Astyanax mexicanus: one gene and its partners. The main gene of each other region encodes a partner of the protein of the gene in region 3 in a complex. Links are inferred from orthologs where the notes say so. Each region holds a gene or a part of one and is shown on either strand. Other genes may lie near its edges. The genes, in order: smarca2, arid2 and smarcd2.

Region 1 (7,730 bases), on a different chromosome or scaffold from region 3:
TTTAAGACAGAACAGTCCTATTATCACGATATGGATTTTTAATATCATGATATTTCTGTGTCACGATATATTGTATACGATATAATATTGCCCACCCCTAGTGGACACCCCTTCTATTAAATGTTTTTAGCTCCTTAAGTTCCCCAGTATTCCTTGCTGACAGTGGTGTACAAATGTACACATGCAGCTAATCGCTGTAGAGTACTGCCAATAGAATGAACCTACTGGCATGGCCTAGAGGAGTATACGCATTAAAAATGTGAAAAAATAAAAATACTTCTGGGTTAAACTCAAAAGCTGGGAATGTAGTGGGGTGGTACTCATTTAACATCCTGAATACAAGCAAATCACAGCACTGCTACAAAATAAAATAATAAAAATTTAATTAAATAAAAAAAATAAAAAAAATCTGGAAAGCAGAGATAGTTACTCCAACAAAAGCATGATAATTCCTCTAAAATCCTTTATTTGTAAAGAAACAATGCATGAGTATTTTTGTTTTACTAAAAAAAGTAAGACATAATTTGCATAACAACGCAACCATATGACCCAAATGACAATCTGACACATGTCTCTTTAGACGACCTTCACCTCAAATCCACTGCTGAATTAGTAATGGTCAAGTAACTCACAATTCCCTCATTTTCCCTCGTTTTTTTATGTAAGAAGAGCTTATTTTGGATATAATCCAATAGAAAAAACAGTTTATTAAGCTGTTGTAGAAGTGGCAGAAAATGTTTTCCCTTTAAAATGTATTTTAAAAGTGGAAAACAATTTACCTATTTTTTTCAACAGTGGCAAATTCAGTTGTAAAAAGTAGAAATCCACGCTTGTATTTTATTTCTGAATCAGAATTTTCCTAAAGCAATACACAGAAAACCCACAATTAGTTTGAACTTAAACAAATTAGGTCTGTTTTATGTAAAATTGGATATTTCAAACATCATTCAACTATTTTAAATTAGGTTTTGTGGGCACATATATGTTTAAATGGAGATTTTGAGACAGAGCTGAATCTTAGAGTTGAAGTTTAGTCTGTTGCCACTGGCAGCTTTTTTTATTGGCTTTTGGCACAATCTATTTGCATACTGGGTTTGTCCCCCAAATTCTGACACTCACCATCAGTGCATAGCGATTCCCCCCAAGCTACCTTAGGTAACTTTGTGTGGGCTGTGTGCTATATTCTTCATCTTATTTTCTACGAGTATTTCAAGTCTGTATTCTATTTAAATGAAATCAAAAATAATACTAAATACAAATCAGTTTTTATTGCCCTAACCATAACATTAAAGTAAAATAATTATTATTCAAAGCAATTGATAAAATATTAATAAAAAAAATTATGTTCCTACAATTTAGGCATAACAACTAAATTCTATATTATAAAAGTGGTCTATTCTAACAAAAAATTAAAACATCTATCTAAATTTCTAGAGCAGTGTAATAACCTATAGAGACCTAGCTTTACATTGTGGTCTTAAACATAGCATATAAATAAATATACAGCTCTGAAAAAATAAGAAACCAATTAAAAATGATGAGTTTCTTTGATTTTACCAAATTGAAAATAATATTTAATATAATCAAAAGGACAAGAGGATAACCAGGGTTATTCCACTTAATGTTGATATCTGAACTCGTATAACTTTATGAATATGAACTTGTTTTCTTTGCATTATTTGAGGTCTGAAAGCTCTGCATGTTTTTCTGTTATTTCAGCCATTTTTCCTTTTCTGCAAATAAATGCTCTAAATGACAATATTTTTTAATTAGGAATTTGCTATATATATATATATATATATATATATATATATATATATATATATATATATATATATAGCTAAATCAGAGAAACTGATTCAGAAACTGAAGTGGTCTCTCATTTTTTCCATGATAATGTATCAACAGTGGCATATCCAAGTCAAAAAGTACACATTTACCACAGTAATTTATTTCTGCATATAAATTACCTTATATAGGCAGTAGATAAACTCTATAGGCTTCAAATAAACAAATATGACATATTCAGGTCAAAAAAAGTAAAAATCCAGCACAGGATTTTATTTCTGAATCTATATTTGAATCTAAATTATCGTAAAGCAGTAGATACGCTGTAGTTACAGGCCTAAGGTGTGTGGCCTCAAATAAACAAATTAGGAAAATTCAGTTCAAAAAGTAAAAGTCCACTCCGGTATTTCGTTTCAGCTGACTGGGCGGACCGGCTGCAGCGGAGACAGTGAGCAGCCCGGGCGGTTGGAAGGAAAACCTGCGGTGGATTTTTACTGTATTGACCTGAATTTGCCATATTTGAACTGTCACCTCTGCAAATAACCAAAAATCAGGGAAACTTTGTGAGACATACGTGACTAAATTAGATTTTTTAAATATATTTTTCAGCAGTAATTAAGTTTCAGCTCAGTAAGGAGCAGACTATTAGCCTGAAGTTGTTATTTTGGGACAGCAGCGCCGTTGCAGTTCCGTTAAATCTGGCAGAGAAAAGTTTCTGAGACTTCGCCATGACAGTTCTGTCTGCAGCAGAAGAGCCTGAAACAGGGCTGCGTTCAGTTACTGCTTGCTGTCAGTCAGCGAGTGAGCTAAATAACTATTTATCCCAGCTAACTATTAGTCTGTATTCTTCTCAAACTTCTCGCCGACGCGCAGCTCAGGTAAGAAGGCTGGGCTAGCAAGCCTAGATACCCGTCTACAGCCAGCCAGCCGCCCGCTCGCAGCTAGCGCTATATTACCTATACACCAGAAGTACCCAGCTTGTTAGCAGCATGCTAGCAGGTTAGCCAGCTAGCCCCGTCTGTACAGTTATCTAAGCTATGCCACAGCGAGCCCTAACAGCCCCCGAGACCTCTCCACAGCCCCAAACCTGACCCCTATTCCAACTAACCAGTATTTATTCACATTTTTAAGGTAAACAGTATAAGACTCGGTTACCTTACAGGCGACACAAATCGATATTTTGGACCTACAGCATTATTTCGCCTTCAAAATATGACTGCCATTAGTGGATCCCCTCCCCCTCTGTGTTTTTTTCGCTGACATCTTCAAGTTAAGCGAAGGCTCGTTTTTGATTGGTCGATACGAGCCGAAATATTACCCGCTTTGCAGCCTGATTGGTCGAGGCGGACGTCAATCAAGCGGTCCTGTATTTTTGTGGCGGGGCTTAGTGATCACTTTCACTATGCTGCGCCGAACGTGCTGGAACCGTGGCGCTACTGGAGTGTGTGTGTGTGTGAGGGTGTGAGGGTGTGTGAGGGTGGGAGTGGGAGTGCTGTTGAACTTGAACTTGACTCATTATAAATGCTAAAATATAAAAAAGTCCTCATACATATACAAAATAATCCTCATATGCGTATTATTTTGTATTTTAGCTTTTATAGTCAAATTCAAGTATATATATATACCACTTAAAAATTATGAATTTCTTTGATTTTACCTAATTGAAAACCTCTGGAATATAATAAAGAGGAAGATGGATGATCACAAGCCATCAAACCAAGCTGAACATAAGCTGTCATAAAGTTTTCCAAAAGCAGTGTGTAAGACTGGTGGAGGAGAACATGCCAAGATGCATGAAAACTGTGATTAAAAGATATCTAGAGTGTGTGTGTGTGGAAATGAGGAAATAGTCCAGTAGGTAACAGAATAACTATGAGTAAGTGCAGGTAAGGAATGAGTTGATTGGGGAGTACAAGGGGCAGAATGCTGTATAATATATATATATATATATATATATATATATATATATATATATATATATATATACGTGTATATATATATATATATATATATATATATACGTATATATATATACGTATATATATATATATATATACGTATATATATATACGTATATATATATATATATATATATATATATATATATATATATATATATATATATATATATACACGTATATATATATACGTATATATATATATATATATATATATATATATATATATATATATATATATATATATATATAGTGTGTAATATAATATATAATATGGGAAGTCTGATAGATGCAGTGTAAAGTTTATGAACATAAACTTGTTTTCTTTGCATCATTTAAGGTCTGAAAGCTCTGCATCTTGTTTGTTATTTCATCCATTTCTCATTTTCTGCAAATAAATGCTGTAAATGACAATATTTTTATTTGGAATTTGGGAGAAATATTGTCCGTAGTTTATAGAATCAAACAACAATGTTCATTTTACTCAAACATATACCTATAAATAGCAAAATCAGAGAAACTGATTCAGAAACTGAAGTGGTCTCGTGAATTTTTTCAGATCTGTATGTCCCACACTAATTAACTAATTAAAGCAAGAGGCCTGAAGTTAAAGTCAGTCAGTGAGCTGACTCTTATAAATGCGCTGAGCTGCAGTAGCGCGTCTCAGCCGCACGGGGGAGACAGAGACCTACACATCTGTACAGCAATACAGCTGCTGCTGCTGTGAACTGATGGCCTGTTTATGTATGTTGTAAGATGCTGATATGGTCAGTTATGGAAATCCAGTTTTTATAATGCTGTTTAAATGTGCAAAATGATATAAATCAAGCACGAATAAGAAAAAGCCAAAATAGCTTAATTTACAAATCTAAATTTGTTGAAAAAAAAAATCAGATGACAACATATAGGACTTTATGAATACAGCAATATTACTCAAGAAAACCAGTAACTAGTGATAATGATATGTTAAAAATAGCCCTAAATATATAAATAAATAAATGAATAGACTTGCTGTTAGTTCAAATACATGCTTAGTGCCTGTTTGCTGATCTGACATATTTTCCCAGTACTCTCATCAAGTGTTTACCAACATATCTTTCCAAAACATACAGTAATTTGCCTGGCAATGTGAGAGAGTGTGTGTGTGAGAGAGAGAGAGAGTGTGTGTTGTGAGATGTGTGTAAAGGACACCTGGCCGATGCTATCAGGTGAGACGGGCATGTTGATTGTAAGGCCAGTGGTGGAATGACAGATTATGTCCTTACGCTTGTTTCCTTTAGCAGGTTCACTCCGGCCACATGTTTAAATACAGGACTCCGAGGTGTTGTGAGAGCCTGCATGCTGCACACACAAAACATATGGAAATAGACGTGTGAAAACAGGTGTACCAAGTTATTATTGCATTACTTTCAAAAGTATTAGCATTTAGTATGGCAGTTAACATTCACAGACTGTTATATAGTATATATATATATATATGTATGAATAAAATTATGATGTGCCTTTGATTTTTAGTTAAACTCTGTTATTGTGGGACATGATGTTATTCTGGTGATATTTAAATACCAGTATAAATAGCACTGCTCCCAGTAGACCACACACACTTACAGTGTACATGTGCCCACACACTATCCACTTTCTAGATGCAGAACTCATATCTCTTACCTCTTAATGTGCAATACAGCTTTTTTTCAATTAATGTAAATATCGAAATAAAATATTCTACATATTTTAGTTATTTACATTTATAATTATGAATTCCTTTTTTATTACCTTTTTATTAATACTTAAAATAGTTAAAAACGAACTGTGAAACTAATAAAGGATTATCTTATCTTATTTTATTTTATCTCAAATAGTTTTAAATGATTATTATTATTATTATTAAATTATTATTATTTCACAATAAATGGAGAAATATAAATACTTCAAATGACTTGGATTATTTTGGTTTTATATTGACGTTCATTAAGCAGATGTACCTCCTGTAAAGTTGCTTGAACTGTATAAGACAGTGTGTGACTGACAAACTGAAGTATATATATTCTTATTCAATTTTGTATGCAAATTAGGGGTGTAATAACATATCAATATTGTATTGTATATTTTTAATACTATATGGATTTATAAAAATACAGTATTGAATTTTAATTATTAATTTTGGGTCAGACATTGGTTCATTTACTGTTGTGTTCAAACTCCGACCACTAGATAGCAGTGTTGTACTCTGTTGTTAGTTTTTTTTTATATGCTGAACCATAACCCCTGTATCGTGATATGTATCATATCGCCAAGGTTTTGGCCATAAACATCCTACTGTAAATATTTGCTGTTTTACTACTAAGAGGTAAACCTGTGCTAATATAATGTGACAATAAACCTGATTAGATTTTTTTTTTTTTATTGTTTTCCAATATTAACAACTACATTATATATCCATTATGTTACTTTTAGAGCTGTATTACAATTTCTTAACTTGAACACTGTATACAAATTAATATTCCAACTTTCAAAATTTTAAATATCATTATGATAATTTTTTTAAGAAAATAGGAAAAAAACCTTTTCACTTTCAGTAAATGTTAATGTTAAATGATTGGTAATTGTAGAACATTTTATTTGTCTATTCATCTTGAAATTTCACACAGTTAAAAAAAACGCTGTCAGATTCACATTCACAGGCCAAAAAAAAATGTAAAAAGTAGATATTTCTCATTTTAAAGAAAGTAGATGAGCTCCTGTGGAATTGAGTTAGTCTGGTGAACAAAGCTTGGTCCCAGATTTTTCCTGGATGCCCCTCCAGCCAAGAATTGTGGATTGTCTGCTGAATTAAAATCAAGCCCTGATTCACCAAACCAGCTGTTGATATGATGATAAACAATACTTACATTTACAGGTTCCCAGGAAAAAAAGCTATGGAGATGTCTTAGTGAATACAGTAGTGTTAAAACACTATTTTCTGTATGAATGTAAACTATTTATTCTAATATTAGTGAATTAAATTTTTGTTTAGCATTTTCATTCCAATTTAGTTCATTCTAATAAACCTATATGCACAGTACTATATATTGTATTATCTACAGTTAGATAGAGATTGGGTTAGTGAAAAACACGATTTCTGTTCATTGAAAACATTTATACAGTTCATATTGTCATTGTCCAATAAATAATAATATTATATTAATATTATAATGATATTATATATTATAATAATAAAAAATATTTTTTAATTTACGTTTAAATGCAGTTTAAATTAATGTACATACACTAACAGGTGAACAAGAAACAATTAAGTTAAAAGCAAAATTTATAAACTACAAAAAAATATAAGGTAAAATAAGGTAAAAGACAACAAGAACCAATTACAAGAATAATAATAAGCCAACAAATAAAAGATTGGTAATCAGAGTTATTTAAATGCTAAAATGCAAAGTACTAAAGGTAATAAAAAAAACAATCATAAAATATATATATATATTATTCTTTTGGTTTAACAACCAAGTGTCTCCTACATTGTTTCAAAATTTCTTAATGAATAGACCAATAAAAATTCTTAAGAAATAGCAGAAATAAACTCATTTTTACACTGACTTCCATTGAAAGTTAATAAGGTTTTATCTTTCCCCTGTAAAGTTGCTATTTTGGAGATACATGTTTGATGAAATGAAGTGTATGTATTCATTGTTTTGATAAGTAAGTGCAGAGGCTTCAGATAATTACTGCTAAACTGGTCAAATTAGTCCAGCGAAGTCTTCACAGACCATTAGTCTAAGCTTAAATAAACACGTCTTACTGTCTGGGAATCTGAGATGAACCAGTGTCTCTCTGATCAAACACGAAGATTCACCTTTAGATAAACCACAGTAACAAAATACACACACACACACAGCACCAGGCCTTTAATGATCTCCTTTCACACAGTGGGAGCTTTAATGTAAAAGAGAGTCATTAAAGATGAGCTGCAGGATGATGCCGTGCTGGGGA
Region 2 (6,925 bases), on a different chromosome or scaffold from region 3:
ATTCTGCACGTGCAAAAATGCAGAATACCGGTATAGGTACAAAAATAACAGAGCTAAATACTTTTTCACCTTTTGTTTTTGAAACGGTGCAAGTATAACATCTCCCCTCTGAACCACTAAAAGCACATCACAGTAATAACACTTGCATTACTATATCTATTTAAAAGGTCAGGGGGAAAAATGCCTCACCTACTACTCACATTACAACATATACTAAAAAGATGGAGAAATGAATTACAATTAATTGGCCACATGTAAGACACAGCACCCACATTACTGCATACAGACACTTTAAATAAGAAAAAAGGAGGAAACAGTAGTTTTAATTTTTTTTACTCACTTAAGGACTTTTGTAGTCTAATTTCTCAGCAGTAAAAAACATACTTTTTTTATTAAACACTGCAGTGCTTGTGTACTTAAAAACCTGGATGTTTGAAATGACCAAAAACATCAGGGAGATGTTCTGATGTGTGAGAATTGGACTGTTGGTGTTGCTCTTATACTGTAAACAAAGCCACAACAGACCATATGCTAAAGTTTCAGGCTCCTAAAACTCCCACCGGCTGTAGGAGACCAAAGAGCACACGGAGAGAGTGAGACAAAGGCCTGAGCTGAGCCTCGTGAACACAACACAAAAACTTTCCTGGAGCCGAAAAGATAAAAGTTGTAATGAGTGAGTTTTATCCGAGGTGTGAAGCTGAGAGCGCCGGTGGCCCGCTGAGCGGCTGGAGTGTGTGTGAGTGAGTGAGTGTGTGTACACATGGCTGAGGAGGGAAACACGCTGACTTACCGAAGGTAGTACTGTTTTAAAACAAAAGCAGCGTTGGAGCAACTCCTCGGGAAATTAAACTCTTCGCCAAGTTCAGACCACTGGTTTTTGTCAGAGACCTACAAAAGAGGGAGATAAACAAAACAAACACGCGTCCATGAGTCTGTGGACATCCACAGGATATAAAAGCTCGTGATAAAGTCGGCATTTCTTCGATTTGACAAGCACATGCGAGCTGATGAGCCGACCGTGCTCGCCTGCCTGCCGCCCGGTCACCAGCTACAGCAGTTTGAATCAGGCAGCCTGCTAACCACCGTTAGCAGTCCGGCTAACCGCACTTTTTAAACAACAAAAAATCCCGAGCCGCGACAGCGAGGCTCCCCCAGCCCGAACCCGTCCCCGCGGTGGAGAGCCGCGGCGGCGGAGGGCATTTGGGCTCGTGTGATGTTGTATTTACAGTGCTGAATAAAACAGGCCTGTCTGTGAGGCCTACGGTTTAGCTGAGCCACGAAGCCAAACACAGGCTATGGCGAGTTACTAGCTTCCTCCAAGCGAGCGCGGTGGAAAAGCGCGGCCGAAAGCCGAGCCCGCGGTGCTGCCCGCCGGTAATCGATGTTTAGCCTCCGCCGCTGGTTTGGAGTCGCTCAAACTGCACTCGCACTCCCCGGCGGAGCAGCGGAGCCGCTAACATCCCGGACTTTCAATTCATACCCGCTCTCTCTCTCCCCCTCTCCCTCGCTCTCGCTCACACACAGGCTTCACCACACAAGGCCATTTTATAGCCCCAAACTCGGGCTGGAAATCGGTTAAATACGCCAGAACCTCCAGGCCGAGCCGGCGGCCACAGGAGCCGGCAAGAAGCCCCGCCGAGAGCTCCGGAGAGAGGCATTTATGAGCACTTTTGGTCGCACTAACCTTAGCGAATCCACCTAAAGAGACGACTCTCGAGTAGAGAGCGCCCAGGTCCAGCTCCTTTCCACCCACCAGCGGGACCTTCTTAAACGGCGACCTGGAGAAAGAGAAAGAAGCACACGGTTAACCGAGGACGGACTGGACGCTCCGGCCGCTCCGGACGACTTTAAGCAGCTTGAAGTTTAACATTTGGACGAATAAAAGGCATCCCCCCTCCTCTCACCCTCTGCTTTGGTGAAATTGCCGCAGCTCGTCCAGGAAAGCTAGTCCTTTCCTCCGCTGCTCGGGCAGGCTTTTTCCCGTCGAATTTGCCATCGTTTCGGATCCTCAAAAGCGGTCAAAACCCGGACTGCTTCGCTTCCTACGACGCCGGGGATCCCATGCTCCGGCGGCGCTCAGTCATTCGCGAGGCTGAGTGTTTAAAAAGTTAAAGAAACGGCGAAGGGAGAGCAGAGCGCCAGCTCTCAGCTAATGAGGACTGTTGAGAGGAGCCGCACAGAAAACAGACCTGATCCGAGCCCGCTCTAACTTCGGCCAAAACATCGGAATAGCGCTCGGATTCAACGGCACACCAGCGTTGCCATGGCGCGAGATGTAAAAATGAAGACCGTGCTGGCTGCTGGACGTGTTGGTTTTGGAGTGGTTTTGACAGTGTGCTACAGACGCGGCGGCATACACACTCTCTCACACACACACTGTGAAGCGGGATCCAGTTCTCAAACAAAAAGACCCGAGCGAGGCCGCGGGCCCTGGCCGCTCTGCAGCGCCCCCGCGCCGCCCGCACAGGTAGTGCACCGGCCGAGGCGCCTCGGCGGAACAATAGACAGACAGTGTTTTCAGTTTTTTCCTTTTTTTATTTCTTTTTTTAAGGGCTCATCTGAAACTTCCGAGATCCGTTAAAACTGAACAGAGCGGAGAGCGTCTGTGGGGGAGGGGGGAGACACCAAATTCACCAGACGAGTAAAAATACATCAGCCCCCGGCAGGTTACAGCGCTGCTGCCTGACCAAAACAGGTCTTATAGTTTACATACATCTCTGTGGGGAAAAAAAATATTTTCACTGACAGGGACAAAATAAATAATAAATAAAATATATAACTAAATAAAAGTTGATTAGTTTGCTAAATGAGAATGGAAATAATAATAATTGTTGCTGTTATTGTTATTCATTTTTACAAACTTGTAAAAACAATTGCATGAAAACAAAAAAATAAATTATAGAGATTAAACAGTTTTGAATAATTTACAACAATATGTATTGTTATTTAACCCTAACCTGTTTGTCATTAAGAGTCTGACTCAACTGGGTTTAAAATAAAGACCTCATCAACTCGCCTCTGCTCGTCTTACTTTTATGTAATTAATTTAATATTTTGGGCTACAGTTCATCTGGGCAGCCCTACAAAAACATGAGTGCATGTATTTTAAACATACAGGTACAGGTAGAAACACCTGAGTAGTGGGGAGTTTTGGGCTCCGCGCTGTGGTGTTTGTTCTTGAACAGTGTGTGTTCAGTGGTGAGCAGTGAGTGCTGTCTGTTGGTGTAAGTGTAAATTGCCGCTGATCCCTGGTATCTCCTCCTCCTCGCTGCCAGGCGTGTATCTCTCTAACTGACGGCTTTACTACATTCAACCATTACACGCTCCCCTTTGAGCGGAGCGCGCTCTGTCACAAAATGGCGGAGCTCAACACCAAAGACCCCATTTTGTCACACTGACACGGAGGAGGACTGAACTGAAACGGCTTTCGGCAATGGGAAAATCTGTCGTTAAACGGCTTTTTTCTAACGCGAATTGGCTGCGTTACACCGGGGAACATTAGCTAGCACCGGCGAGCCGCGCCGCAGCTCCGCGGAAACAGCAGCTCCACTGGAGACGGCAGCTAATGAACTAACTTCACCTGCCCGCAGCTCTTCAATTCCACCTTAAATATCGCATCGGTTACATTAATATGTTGCTCCTTCAGTAGCTACATGTGTCTAAAGTGTAACTGTTACTTTATTTAAGGTGGAGTGGAAACATTGAATACGATTCTCTACATGATCCGACTACTGCTCGGCTACAGATCCGCTGTAACCTGTCCGCTGCTGTCTCAGCTCTCACACACACTTACACACACATATTGTGTCACACACACCGCCGAAAACCCATCCTCTGACATCCAGCCCGCCGCTGTGTTTAGTTTAAGAGGCGCTGTGGGATAAACCGGTTTAGATATCGGCGTGTTTGGTTTGGTTTTCGGTGTAAAACCGCGTTTAAACCGCCGACCTTCACCCGCGACGGTTAGCTCACTAGCATTTCTTAAGCTAAGCTAGTTGGCGTTAGCCGCTTAGCTTAATATGTCAGTCAGGTCTGTAGCTAATTCAGTTGCTGCGCGGCTCTCTGGGCATTTACTGCTTTGTTATCTCAGTCATTAAGCTTCTGAGGTAAACATACTTCTTATTATTCGAGTGTGCGGCGGGTTATAGCCGTCCTGCGTTTATCTGTGTAGTCTGAAACCCGAGCGGGAGGCTGAACTCAGTGACCCGCCGCCACCATTAGACTGCTGCTGCTGTTAACTGTGAACCAGCGTTAGATTTATAATACATTACAGCAGCCCGAGCACAGCTACTGCACCCCGCCACCACAGATCATTACAGGCTTTCACATTCGGCCAGTGTAACGTTTATTAATTACATTTACTGACCATTTGAGGTAAAATGCAAAAATATTAAATTGGATGTAAAAACTCATTATTTTTTAAAAATGAAGTGCGGTGTACAATAAATAAGTTTTCATCCATTTTTCCAATTGTAGTTTTTTTTTTATCTCTGCCCCTTACTATATATATATATATATATATATATATATATATATATATATATATATATATATATATATATATATATATATATATATATGATTATTTTGCAAGTTCAGATCTGTATTGAAAGATACAAAAATTGACAAATCTGAAAATTGAGAGAAGATTCAGCTTCGAGATTCGACCACATTCACCCTACTGTGCTTTTTTTTATTCAGAAATATACATAAATAACCAATAAACAAACATTCATTAATTTATACTGTGTGTGTTTGTTTTGGCTTTTGTTTCTAGCTAACCCGTTTTTGCCCACCAGCTTCTTTAGTCCATAAATACTACGGACCTCATAAGTCGTTTAAAACGTGTATAATAAAAATACATTTAATAGGTTATAAATGTTCTTTATTTCTGTCTATGCAGATGTTGATGCATAATGTATTGGCTTATTCCATATCTATGTAACTAGTGTAGCTATGATTAGTGTGTTAGTTAAATTTCGATTATTAATTTGGTTTAAAAACCGCATTTCTTCAAATTTGAGTATCAGTATAAATTATTTTTATTGCTCTTCATTGATTAAAGTGTCATTCTGACTTTCAGACAGTGCACAGAGTGACTGTCCTGAATGAATGGACAGAGAAAGACAGTTGAGCAGAGTGCTGATCGTCCTCCGGGGAGTCATTAAGCCGCGGTGAACAGCGCCCTCTATCGCCAACACCACCGCAGTACACACTGACTCCTCTCTACAGCACTACAGCACAACATGACTCGACTGACCTCCAGTTATACACCGGTATTCTCAAGGATCTGCTGGAGGTAAAACAGATCCGGATCCGAGTCGCCTGCTGTCTGGGTACAGTCAAATATCAAAATATAGAAAATAGTGAAACAGAGCAACAACAACAAAAAAAGAGGCGACGACAATTTTAACTGTAATGTTTAAGAAAAAAAGTCATTTCGTAAAAATGGCAAAATCACATGAAAATCCTGAAAGAATCCAATCCCGCATCACAAATATTTTTTATTGTAGTCTCAAGATAATACAAAATGCTTTTATAAGATAACAGGGTTGTTTTTTTTAAGATAATTTGACCTTTCGCGTTAAGGCACAAATAATTAAGTTGTAAGTCTAAGATCTGGTTTCCACATACTAAATTGTGGCCACAACTTAATCATCTCCTCTCCATGTCTTATTAAGTCATGCTCATTGCCCACAAAATAATTATCTGATTCCCATGCCTTACTAAGTCATACCCATGATTTAACTATTTTATATCTTTCTTTCAAAGTCATGCCCACAATTTAATTATCTCGTTCCCATGCCTTACTAATTCTTGCCCATGACTTAATTATTTTGTTCCTATGCCTTACTAAGTCATGCCCACAACTTAGTTATCTATTTTTTGTGTGTTACTAATTCACGCCCATGACTTAATTACTGCAGTCCCATGCCACACTAAGTCATGCCCACAACTTAACTATTTTATATCTATGCCCTACTTAGTCATGCCAATGATTTAACTATTTCATATCTGTGTTTCAAAGTCATGCCCACAAATTAATTATCTCATATCTCTGCCTTACTAAGCCATACCCATGACTTTGTCTTTTTCCCATGCCCACAAAATAATTATCTAATTCCCATGCCTTACTATGTCATGCCCATGATTTAACTATTTCATATCTGTCTTTCAAAGTCATGCCCACACATTAATTATCTCATATCTCTGCCTTACTAAGCCAAGCCCATGACTTCATTATTTTATTTGTTTCTTATTAAGCCATGCCCACAACTTACTTATCTCTTTCCAGTGCTTTACTAAGCCAAGCCCATGACTTCATTATTAGGGTTCAAGCACCGAAGGTGCGTAGAACCCTATTGTTTTTGCTAAGATTTTTCTTCTTCTTCTTCTTCTTCTTCTTCTTCTTCTTATTATTATTCTTTTTCTCCTGAAAAAACAGTTGTGCAGCCTAAACCGTAAGTCATAGAGAAATTAAACTTGGTAGGTAGATCTCGGTGGACAACAAAAATGGCACCGATTGGTCAAGTGGTGGCGCTATAAACAAGGAAATTCATTTTTCACAATTTTCTGAATAACTCAAAAACCATAAGACCTACATTCAAAATTCTTTTTTTGATGGATTCCTTGGGTCAATACCAACAACTTTCCAATTTGGACCATGCACTTCCGTCTATATAGATTTTTTGCTAATTTGCATAATATGCAAAACCTACTTTTGCAAACTAGTCCTAGGAATTTTGACCAATCCTGGCATGTTTGGTATCAAAACACTCGTGAGAGCATGCGCTTCAATATTCATTAAGAAAAAGTTGAAATATGTAAACAATATGGCCGCCATATGCAAATTAGTCCTTCCGGATATATGCCCCATTCACTTCAAGAGGTAAATTTGGAGCACTGTTTCTCAGCAACCGTGCAA
Region 3 (7,866 bases):
CTCAACACAAAATTACCCTATGCTGTAACAGACTGATGACTTTTGCCAAATAATAAACACCATTACTAAAATAGATCCATCTTCCTCCCAAGCTTGTTTTTAAAGTTGTACAGATGGCACAGCTCTATTAGCACTTCTTCCTTTCGGCGTAATCCAGCAGTTTAGATCATGAGACAGTGTTAGAGTTAAGCTTCCTTTGTTTTACACCAGTGCCTTCACTCCTCCCTTCAGGGCGGAAACAAATGCATCTCTGAGGAAGGGTACAAAAAGTTCTTTCTGCCCCAAAGGACAAGCCACTGTCAATTTGCACATGCTAGAAGATCAAACTGAGATGAGCTTTTCTGTTAATGTACAAGGCTTTGAATGTGGGGAAACCCTTCCTGCTGCTTCACTGCTGGACAAGTTTAAGTGTGTTAGCCACACTCTACCCATTCAATGTTGGCCACAGAAATGCTGTGGAACTGGAATAAGTGAATAATAGGGATGTAATGGTACATTGCTAGTCTTGGTTCGGTTCACATCATGGATTGGACATCACGGTTCTGTATGAGTTTGGTACACAAAGCCCTAAATACATAAGGGTAGGTTTGCTTTTTAAATTATTTGAAACAAAAATCTAGCAAGTTACAATCTGTTCCAATTAGTTTTGCAGTCTGCAACATTCTAGAACATCACAGAACATTTTTTAAGCAAATTTATCAGTTAACTAATTTTGGCCCTAGCTTTCACCCATAAATCACTCTTTTTACAGAGACAAATTATGTATCACCAGGTTTATTTAGCAATGCAAATACAGTTTTGCTACTGTTGAGTTCAGAAGGTAGGCTATATTTTATTTATGTTGAAATATGGATTAAATCTCACAGCTAACTTGCACCTCTTTCCTCTCCCTTGGTCTCCTTTGGTCCTTCCTTTCTCTCTCTTTCTCTCACACGCGCACACACACACTTGCTGCTTCTGTGAAGCATAGGTTTTCCGTGTTTCCTCTCCTACTTGTTTAATTCACTCGTTTACCTGTTAAAGTTGTGTTTAACAGAAGAAGTTATACAAATAGCAGAGTAAATTTTTTATGTTCTATTTGCGCAAATGAAAAGAAATGAATAATTCAGCATAATTAATCACTCTTTACTAGTAAATAATAAATAAAGATTAAGCTTTAATATGTAACAACATGCCACTGGAAAACAACATTGTAATGGTTTAAATAAAAAAAATTGCTGCTGCTAAACTCCAACCTCCAGTGAACACTCACCCTCTCCGAGGCCCCACCAGCCCCCCTGCCTGCTGATGGAGCAGTCTCTTGCGGACCGGGTCCAGCGCTGCCTGAGGCATGCCGGGGCGCATGCTGCCACCATAGGATGGCCCAGGCATGGGGGATCCCATTGGCCCCATCCCACCCATGGGCATGTTTCGACTGGGCGGCATGCTGGGACGCTGCAACCACGCACACACACAGACAGGTCAGAAACACTGGACCACGTATGACAAACAGCAGAATGATAAAAGAGGTAAAGAGACAAAAACGGACTCTAGGCATTTTTTGTTAAAGACCAAACAATGAACACATTTTATTTAACTCATTAATTTTGCCCCTTTTATTTTTTTTTATACAAAACTACAATTAAAATAATTATTCAACACTGAACATTTTAATATCCCAGCAGACACGTCAATAAAGCACAATATTGTTCAGTATTTATTATCTGAGTGTTGAGTAAGAAAGCACTTTCTGCTAAATAATTTTGGTTGGCTAATATTTGGTGCTACCTCTCTGGATTACTGTTTTAATTTTATTTTAAAATGGGATAATCGAGACTGTACATCATTTATATTTTACACTTTTCCTTAATTCATATACATATGTTCAATATAAAAGCTGCAGATAAGGTTGAAGAGGACTGCTTACTATTCATAAAAAATAAATACAGTTTTGGAATTAAATGTAAAGAAAACAATAGCTTGGAAAACATTTAATGGTACTGTTTGTTGAAAAAAAAAACGGTTGTTAAAAAATATAGACCAAAACCATATTAATTATGTATATGGATGACAACTCCAATCATTAAAGGGTAAAAGAGCTTAAGCTACACAATAACAGAACATGAGGAAAATATAAATTATTCATGAACCACAATAGTTTTATTCCTATTATTCTTAACCACTTTAATAGTGAGACAAAGTCCATTTGAAAGACTGCTATCAAATTCCCCTCCCGAAGCCTTGTTTTCACATCTGTTTATGAGATGTGACGCAACATCACGTCAAAGCCAAACATTGAAATGACATGATGCCAAAACTGACGTTTGTGCGCCCCGTTAAATCCGCTTCTTTTAACTTATTTAAATCGATTCTTTCAGCGTGTAAACGAGTATCGGTTTAAGTCAGTTCACTTTAAACGCGGAAGTTCGGTCAACGTTCATGCTAACGCAGATACAACCGTAACATCTTAAAAACGGACTTTTCCCGTTATTTTGCACTTTAAATTACAGAACAGACGGTAACGACATTTTCTTAGCACGGTAATGAATCCGTAACTGTATTAAGGACGGTTTTTGGACATTAATGAACATACACGCGCTGTAATGACTGTGTGTATATGTGTGTACTGTCAGTTAGCTTAGCGAGCCGCTCCCTCAGACAAAAGCGCGTGAGGGGATTTCAGCCAACGGCCGTAACGAAAATAACGAACTTCGCTAAATTTCGAAAAAATAAGAATTTAACGAAAATAACTGAATTCAGCGAGCTGCCAAACTTTCGTTAGGGTCGCGCTGCCACCACACGGGCTTACCGGGTATTGTCCAGTGGGGACCGGGAGACCCCGATAGCCCCCCGTGCTCTGCGGCATCCCCGCCATACGCACACTGCCTGGGGGCCCCGGGGGGCCGGGGTTCGCGGTGCCTGGACCCGCCGGGCTGTTCGGGAGGAACCCCGGTCTGGAAGCCATGCTGCCCGAGCTCCGACGATAACTAAACTATACTAAATAAAACACACGCGCGCTCGTGTTCTCTCTCTCTCTCTCTCCTGTTTCTGTTTCTCTCTCTCCTTTTCTTCCTCTGTTTCTTTCTATCTCCCTCTCTCCTTCTCTCTGGTCCCGCCCCCTCCTGCCAGTCCGCGCTATAATTGGTTGCTCAGTCGTTTTACAAGAGATTGACCAATGACTAAGGGCTGAGGTTCAAGTGGGGGGCCTCCGTGGGTTGCCAGATAATCCCACCGAATGCCTCTTGGACACGGTTGTTGTAAACATCTATATTTTTACACTTCTAGCTAGCGTAATACACTTCTGATTACTAAATCAATTCCTCACAGAGAGTACTATCAACATTTAAAAAGCATTATTATCATTAATGATATGTGCTTGTACAATTACACATTTTTTTAATCTAAGATGAACACACACAAACACACACACACACACACACACACACATATATATAAAACAAAGGGAAGGAATATAAATTTTAGAATAAAACACCTACAAGAACCACTGCCACTACTTCAATATTAATAATGATAATAATAACAAACACTACACAATAAATAAAAAAATGTCTAAAACAGAATATTTATATATAAACATGCCAAATGTCATGGGACAGGAAATTGTATTGTCTCAATTATTTTGTCCTGTCCCATGGATGCTAAAGAACATGATATATGCAAGATATAAGTCTAGGACCTCCTGCGATGAATGTGGAGTAGCCTGTCTGTTCAATTGGACAGATTCCCCTAAGGTCATGTTCATAACCACCACTGTGGGTGGTAGTGACTTCTATGATGTTTTCCCAGTACACAGCTAGCTAGTTAACATACGTCTGACCAGATTTTAAGCAGCATAAAATGTCTTTGTTTCTGTGACTTTAAGGGTTTAGCTGGTAAACAACCAGTGTGAACATACGTGACTATAATGGTTAACCAGCATGACCAACAAGACCAAGTAGGGAGACATTCAAGACCAGCATAACTAGCATAATAAAACTGATCAACCAGCATTACCAAGCTTTCCAATGTTCAAAAAGTTTTTTCAACCCCCTTTACCACCAAGGATCAACTTAGACCATCCTAAAGAATGAAAAAGCGGCTCCTAAGCTCGCTTTTCAGCAGGGTGGTCAGACACTCACAGATGGTTTCTGTAGTTTGTGGACACACCACCAAGCTATGATGCGCTGTGACCAGTGATTGATTGTTGGATATATGTTTTGGGGTCAAGATGAATGGATGAAAATATGGAAATATTTTAATGGCTGTGACAACAGCAACATACACAAAAATGGTTGTTCTTGTAGATAAAATTCAACCAAAATGTTTCCTTCAAAAAACTTTTGTACTGCGATGAATATATGGTTAGCACAGAGGTCCACAGTTTGCCAGGAAAGCAAAGACAAATGGTAAACACTGGAAGTCCAGTGGTTCCTGTTTGGTGGTGGTACTTGTTACTTCTGCATTCATTACTGGCAGTTTCTAACCACAGCTGCCATCATATCCATGCTGGGTACCCACCATGTTCTTCCCCTTTTTGTGTTTGAATTGTAAAGGAAGTCACCGTTCTGTTGAGTGGCTGTGCGGTATTAATCTTACAACTGACAAAGGGCTAGAGTTGGGATGAACAAGACTTCTTTTTGAATCTCAGCATCAATTACCTTCATAATTACCACCAGAGGGACAATGCTAATGTAAAGTAGCTCGCTATGGGATTTGCAATGAAATATGTAACATTATCACAAGGCTAACTGTGTGTATTATCTATTCTATTTGGCTTGATCAGCTTACTGCATTTCCACACCTATAGTTTATTTGGAAACTTGAAGCATTTTCCTCTTGACTTGGTTTAATAGGAGAAAAATTCAAGCACTTAAAAATAAGTCACAACAAACGTGACATGTATATGCTTATTGGTCAGATCTTTCTGGGTTGGGAGCATGAAATAAAATACAGGAAGAAGGTCCTGTGTTCTAAACCAGTGCATATTTCTGTGAAGTTTAACATGGAGTAACATGCAAAATACATTCTTAACTTCTTTTTGGAGAATATTTTGCTATGAATTCCTCAGTCAATACATTAGCCTAACCTGGTGTGTATTCATAACTGTTCATAGGCTAGGCCATTGAGTTGCATTATTTAGAAAAATACTTATTTTACTTAGTTTCTTAAACATAATTGTGTCAAAAGTTACAGGAGAAATCCAGAAATTAACTGTACAATAACGTACCAGTTTTCATTGTCTCCATGTGAGGAGTTATCAATGGAACAACATGCAAGCCTGTAATACAACATTTATAAAATTGACTTTTTTATTTAGCATCTAACAACCTACATTCATCCCTTTTATCATAAACAAAGAGCTGGTTGAAAAGCTCGTCATCTAGGTGAAAATATACCCTATACCAGGTGGTTAAGTGGGTTAAGTAACTTGTTACCTCTTGATCAGCATTACGTATGTTTTCCTTTGAGTTTGATGGACTAACTTGTCTACCAGCAGCACAATAAACTTGTCTAAGCTAGTCAATAACCTGGTTGTTAGCTTCAGGTTGTTGGTCACAAGCTAAGCTGGTCAGCCTGCTTAACAAGGGTGAGCTAGGGTGGAGCTAGCCAGGCTATTTTCAGCAGGGTACTGAAGTGAACCTCAAACACACATACATGGTTCTGATCGTTTATTACACGTGTTGACATGTCCACAAGCATACGGCTCATGGCCTGGCCAGGATAGCAGCATTTTTCACCTAGTCAAATGTATGTACAGTTACAACACAGTGAAGACACACATGATTCCTTACACTGTAAACATCTAGTACACAGAAACAAGACCAAGAAAGGAAGAAACAAAAAAATGATAAAAGGAGAAATTCTAGTCTTGATACGTTCTCCTCAAAGGAATACGTACGTCTTTCTGCCAGAGGCAATTTCAAGTGTTTATACAGAGTCTCAAAGTTTTATTTTATAATATTTTTTCCTGTAAGAGTGCGATATTAGAAGATCATAATTGTTCTTCAAGGTGTCAACACGGCTCTTTTGCCTTGAGGATCACCAGGAAAAAAAAAAGGATGCACCTTTGTGGATTCGTGCAAAAAGCCCCTTACAACTCGAAATGGTGAAATAAGCAGCATTGATTGATGAGTTATTTATCAGTCCTGTTCTTTGCAAATATCTTTTCTTGGCCATCATTTAAAAACACGTCCTCCTCAGCCGTTTAAGACCTAGTGAAGACGTGCAAAAGAAAAATCAAAAGTCTCAAGTGAAGGGAGGCATCCGCCACTTGCTTACTACCACCTGCCATTCAAACCAATGGCCCCGCCCCGGTCCTCCCTGAGAGCTTCCCATTGTTGTGCGCGTTCCACGCCACCAGGTCGCGCCACTCTGAAGAACTATCAAGTTACACTGTCAAGACAAAACGATCAACACGACATCGATTCATTGTGCAAAATATTCCAGGAAAATAAAGAGAAAAAGAAAGAGAGAAAGAGAGAAACAGAGTGAGAAAGAAAACACTTGTGTAAACCGAACGGTGAAGCTAATCGATGGCCCTTCCGCCAGTCAGCACAATTCAGGTCGTGCGTTTGTTACTGAAGGTGAGCCAAACGGCATTGTGGGTAGTGATTGGAGGGCCCCCCCCCATTGCCAATGTCGTTACTGTGGAAACGACTCGTCTCTTAGCAACACACGCGGACTCCCTTGGTTCTTCTCATGTCGCTTTGAGCCCAGCAAAGCTGAAGGACGAACTTGGAGCGTCGTCAATGAGTCATCCTCACTCCTACATGTGCAATTCATTGAGTGAGATGTTAGAACACGAAACTGTAACAACATCTACATAAACACATTTAAGACACTATAAACAGACCCCTCCAAAAATATTGGAACAGTGAGGCTGATCCATGTATTCACACCTGCTGTAGACTGAAAACATTTGGGTTTGATATTAAAAATTGATATCATGCAAAAGATCAACATTTCAGCTTTTATTTCCAGGTACATCTAATTCTGATACACAGTTCAGAAGATGGCACCTTTTATCGGAACCCACCCATTTTTCTTTTTTTGGGCAAAAGTATTGGAACAGATAGACTTAAATACAGATTAAAGTTGAAATTCCTTATTTAGCTACAAATCCTGTGCTTGCAATAACTGCATCACGTCTGTGACCCACTGACGTTACTAAACTTTCGCATTCTTCTTCTGCGATGCTTTCCAGGCAGTGAGTTTTGGGTCATCATTTTGCTGTATGATGAAGGATCTCCCAATTAGATTGGTTGCATCTTTCTTTAAATTGAAAGACAAAAGTTTCAGTAGAAAACTTTGTTTCACAGACAAGCTTGTATGTTTGGAATCATGAGCAGATTCTTTCTTTCTCCAAAATTTAGCCTTTCAATCACATTGGTAAAAGTTCATCAGTCCATATTCTTATCACTGTACATCTTGGGAAATTCCAGCTTTTAAATCCTCAGCGAACAGTAGATTGCAATACCTTCACTCCTACCTTTTGAAGGTTGTTGCTGATGCCACTAGCAGTTGTTTGATGGTCTTTCTTTACAGTATTAACAATGTTTCGACTGCTGTGGTTTTATTGGCTATGGACAATATCTATGCAATGGTTCCAATTGATTTTTCATCATCTCTCAGCTTCACAATTGCTCGTTTTTCATGTTTACTCATTTAAATATCAAATGCACAGTCCACATGGGCTAAATCCAAACTGAAACTAAGCATATACATTCAGAGCTATTTATTGTTTGAGCAGTCAATGTATCAGAACACACCTGGGCAACAAAATACACCTGAAAGTCACATGTTCCAATATTATTTCTCATAACAAAAATGAGGTCAGACAAAAAGCACAATGTTCTAAACTGTGTATCAGATCCTTTTATGTCTACA

The links.
Region 1: smarcd2 (region 3) and smarca2 share a complex: the UniProt entries of both Homo sapiens proteins name them as parts of the BAF complex. The link is inferred for Astyanax mexicanus from reciprocal best matches to the Homo sapiens genes SMARCD2 and SMARCA2.
Region 2: smarcd2 (region 3) and arid2 share a complex: the UniProt entries of both Homo sapiens proteins name them as parts of the SWI/SNF-B (PBAF) chromatin remodeling complex. The link is inferred for Astyanax mexicanus from reciprocal best matches to the Homo sapiens genes SMARCD2 and ARID2.

Annotation. Positions count from the first base shown.
Region 1 is NC_064429.1:18,434,626-18,442,355, forward strand, and holds the start of smarca2 (probable global transcription activator SNF2L2), read right to left. Parts: upstream 3,070-7,730; 5' UTR 2,979-3,069; exon of another isoform or gene 2,944-2,978; intron 1-2,943. UniProt on the Homo sapiens protein: ATPase involved in transcriptional activation and repression of select genes by chromatin remodeling (alteration of DNA-nucleosome topology).
Region 2 is NC_064409.1:38,201,757-38,208,681, reverse strand, and holds the start of arid2 (AT-rich interactive domain-containing protein 2), read right to left. Parts: upstream 3,006-6,925; 5' UTR 1,997-3,005; coding exon 1,905-1,996; intron 1,779-1,904; coding exon 1,685-1,778; intron 889-1,684; coding exon 791-888; intron 1-790. UniProt on the Homo sapiens protein: Involved in transcriptional activation and repression of select genes by chromatin remodeling (alteration of DNA-nucleosome topology). Required for the stability of the SWI/SNF chromatin remodeling complex SWI/SNF-B (PBAF).
Region 3 is NC_064422.1:21,924,698-21,932,563, forward strand, and holds the start of smarcd2 (SWI/SNF-related matrix-associated actin-dependent regulator of chromatin subfamily D member 2), read right to left. Parts: upstream 3,078-7,866; 5' UTR 2,945-3,077; coding exon 2,789-2,944; intron 1,435-2,788; coding exon 1,253-1,434; intron 1-1,252. Other genes in the region: atxn7l3b (ataxin-7-like protein 3), read right to left, coding at 6,726-6,745. UniProt on the Homo sapiens protein: Involved in transcriptional activation and repression of select genes by chromatin remodeling (alteration of DNA-nucleosome topology).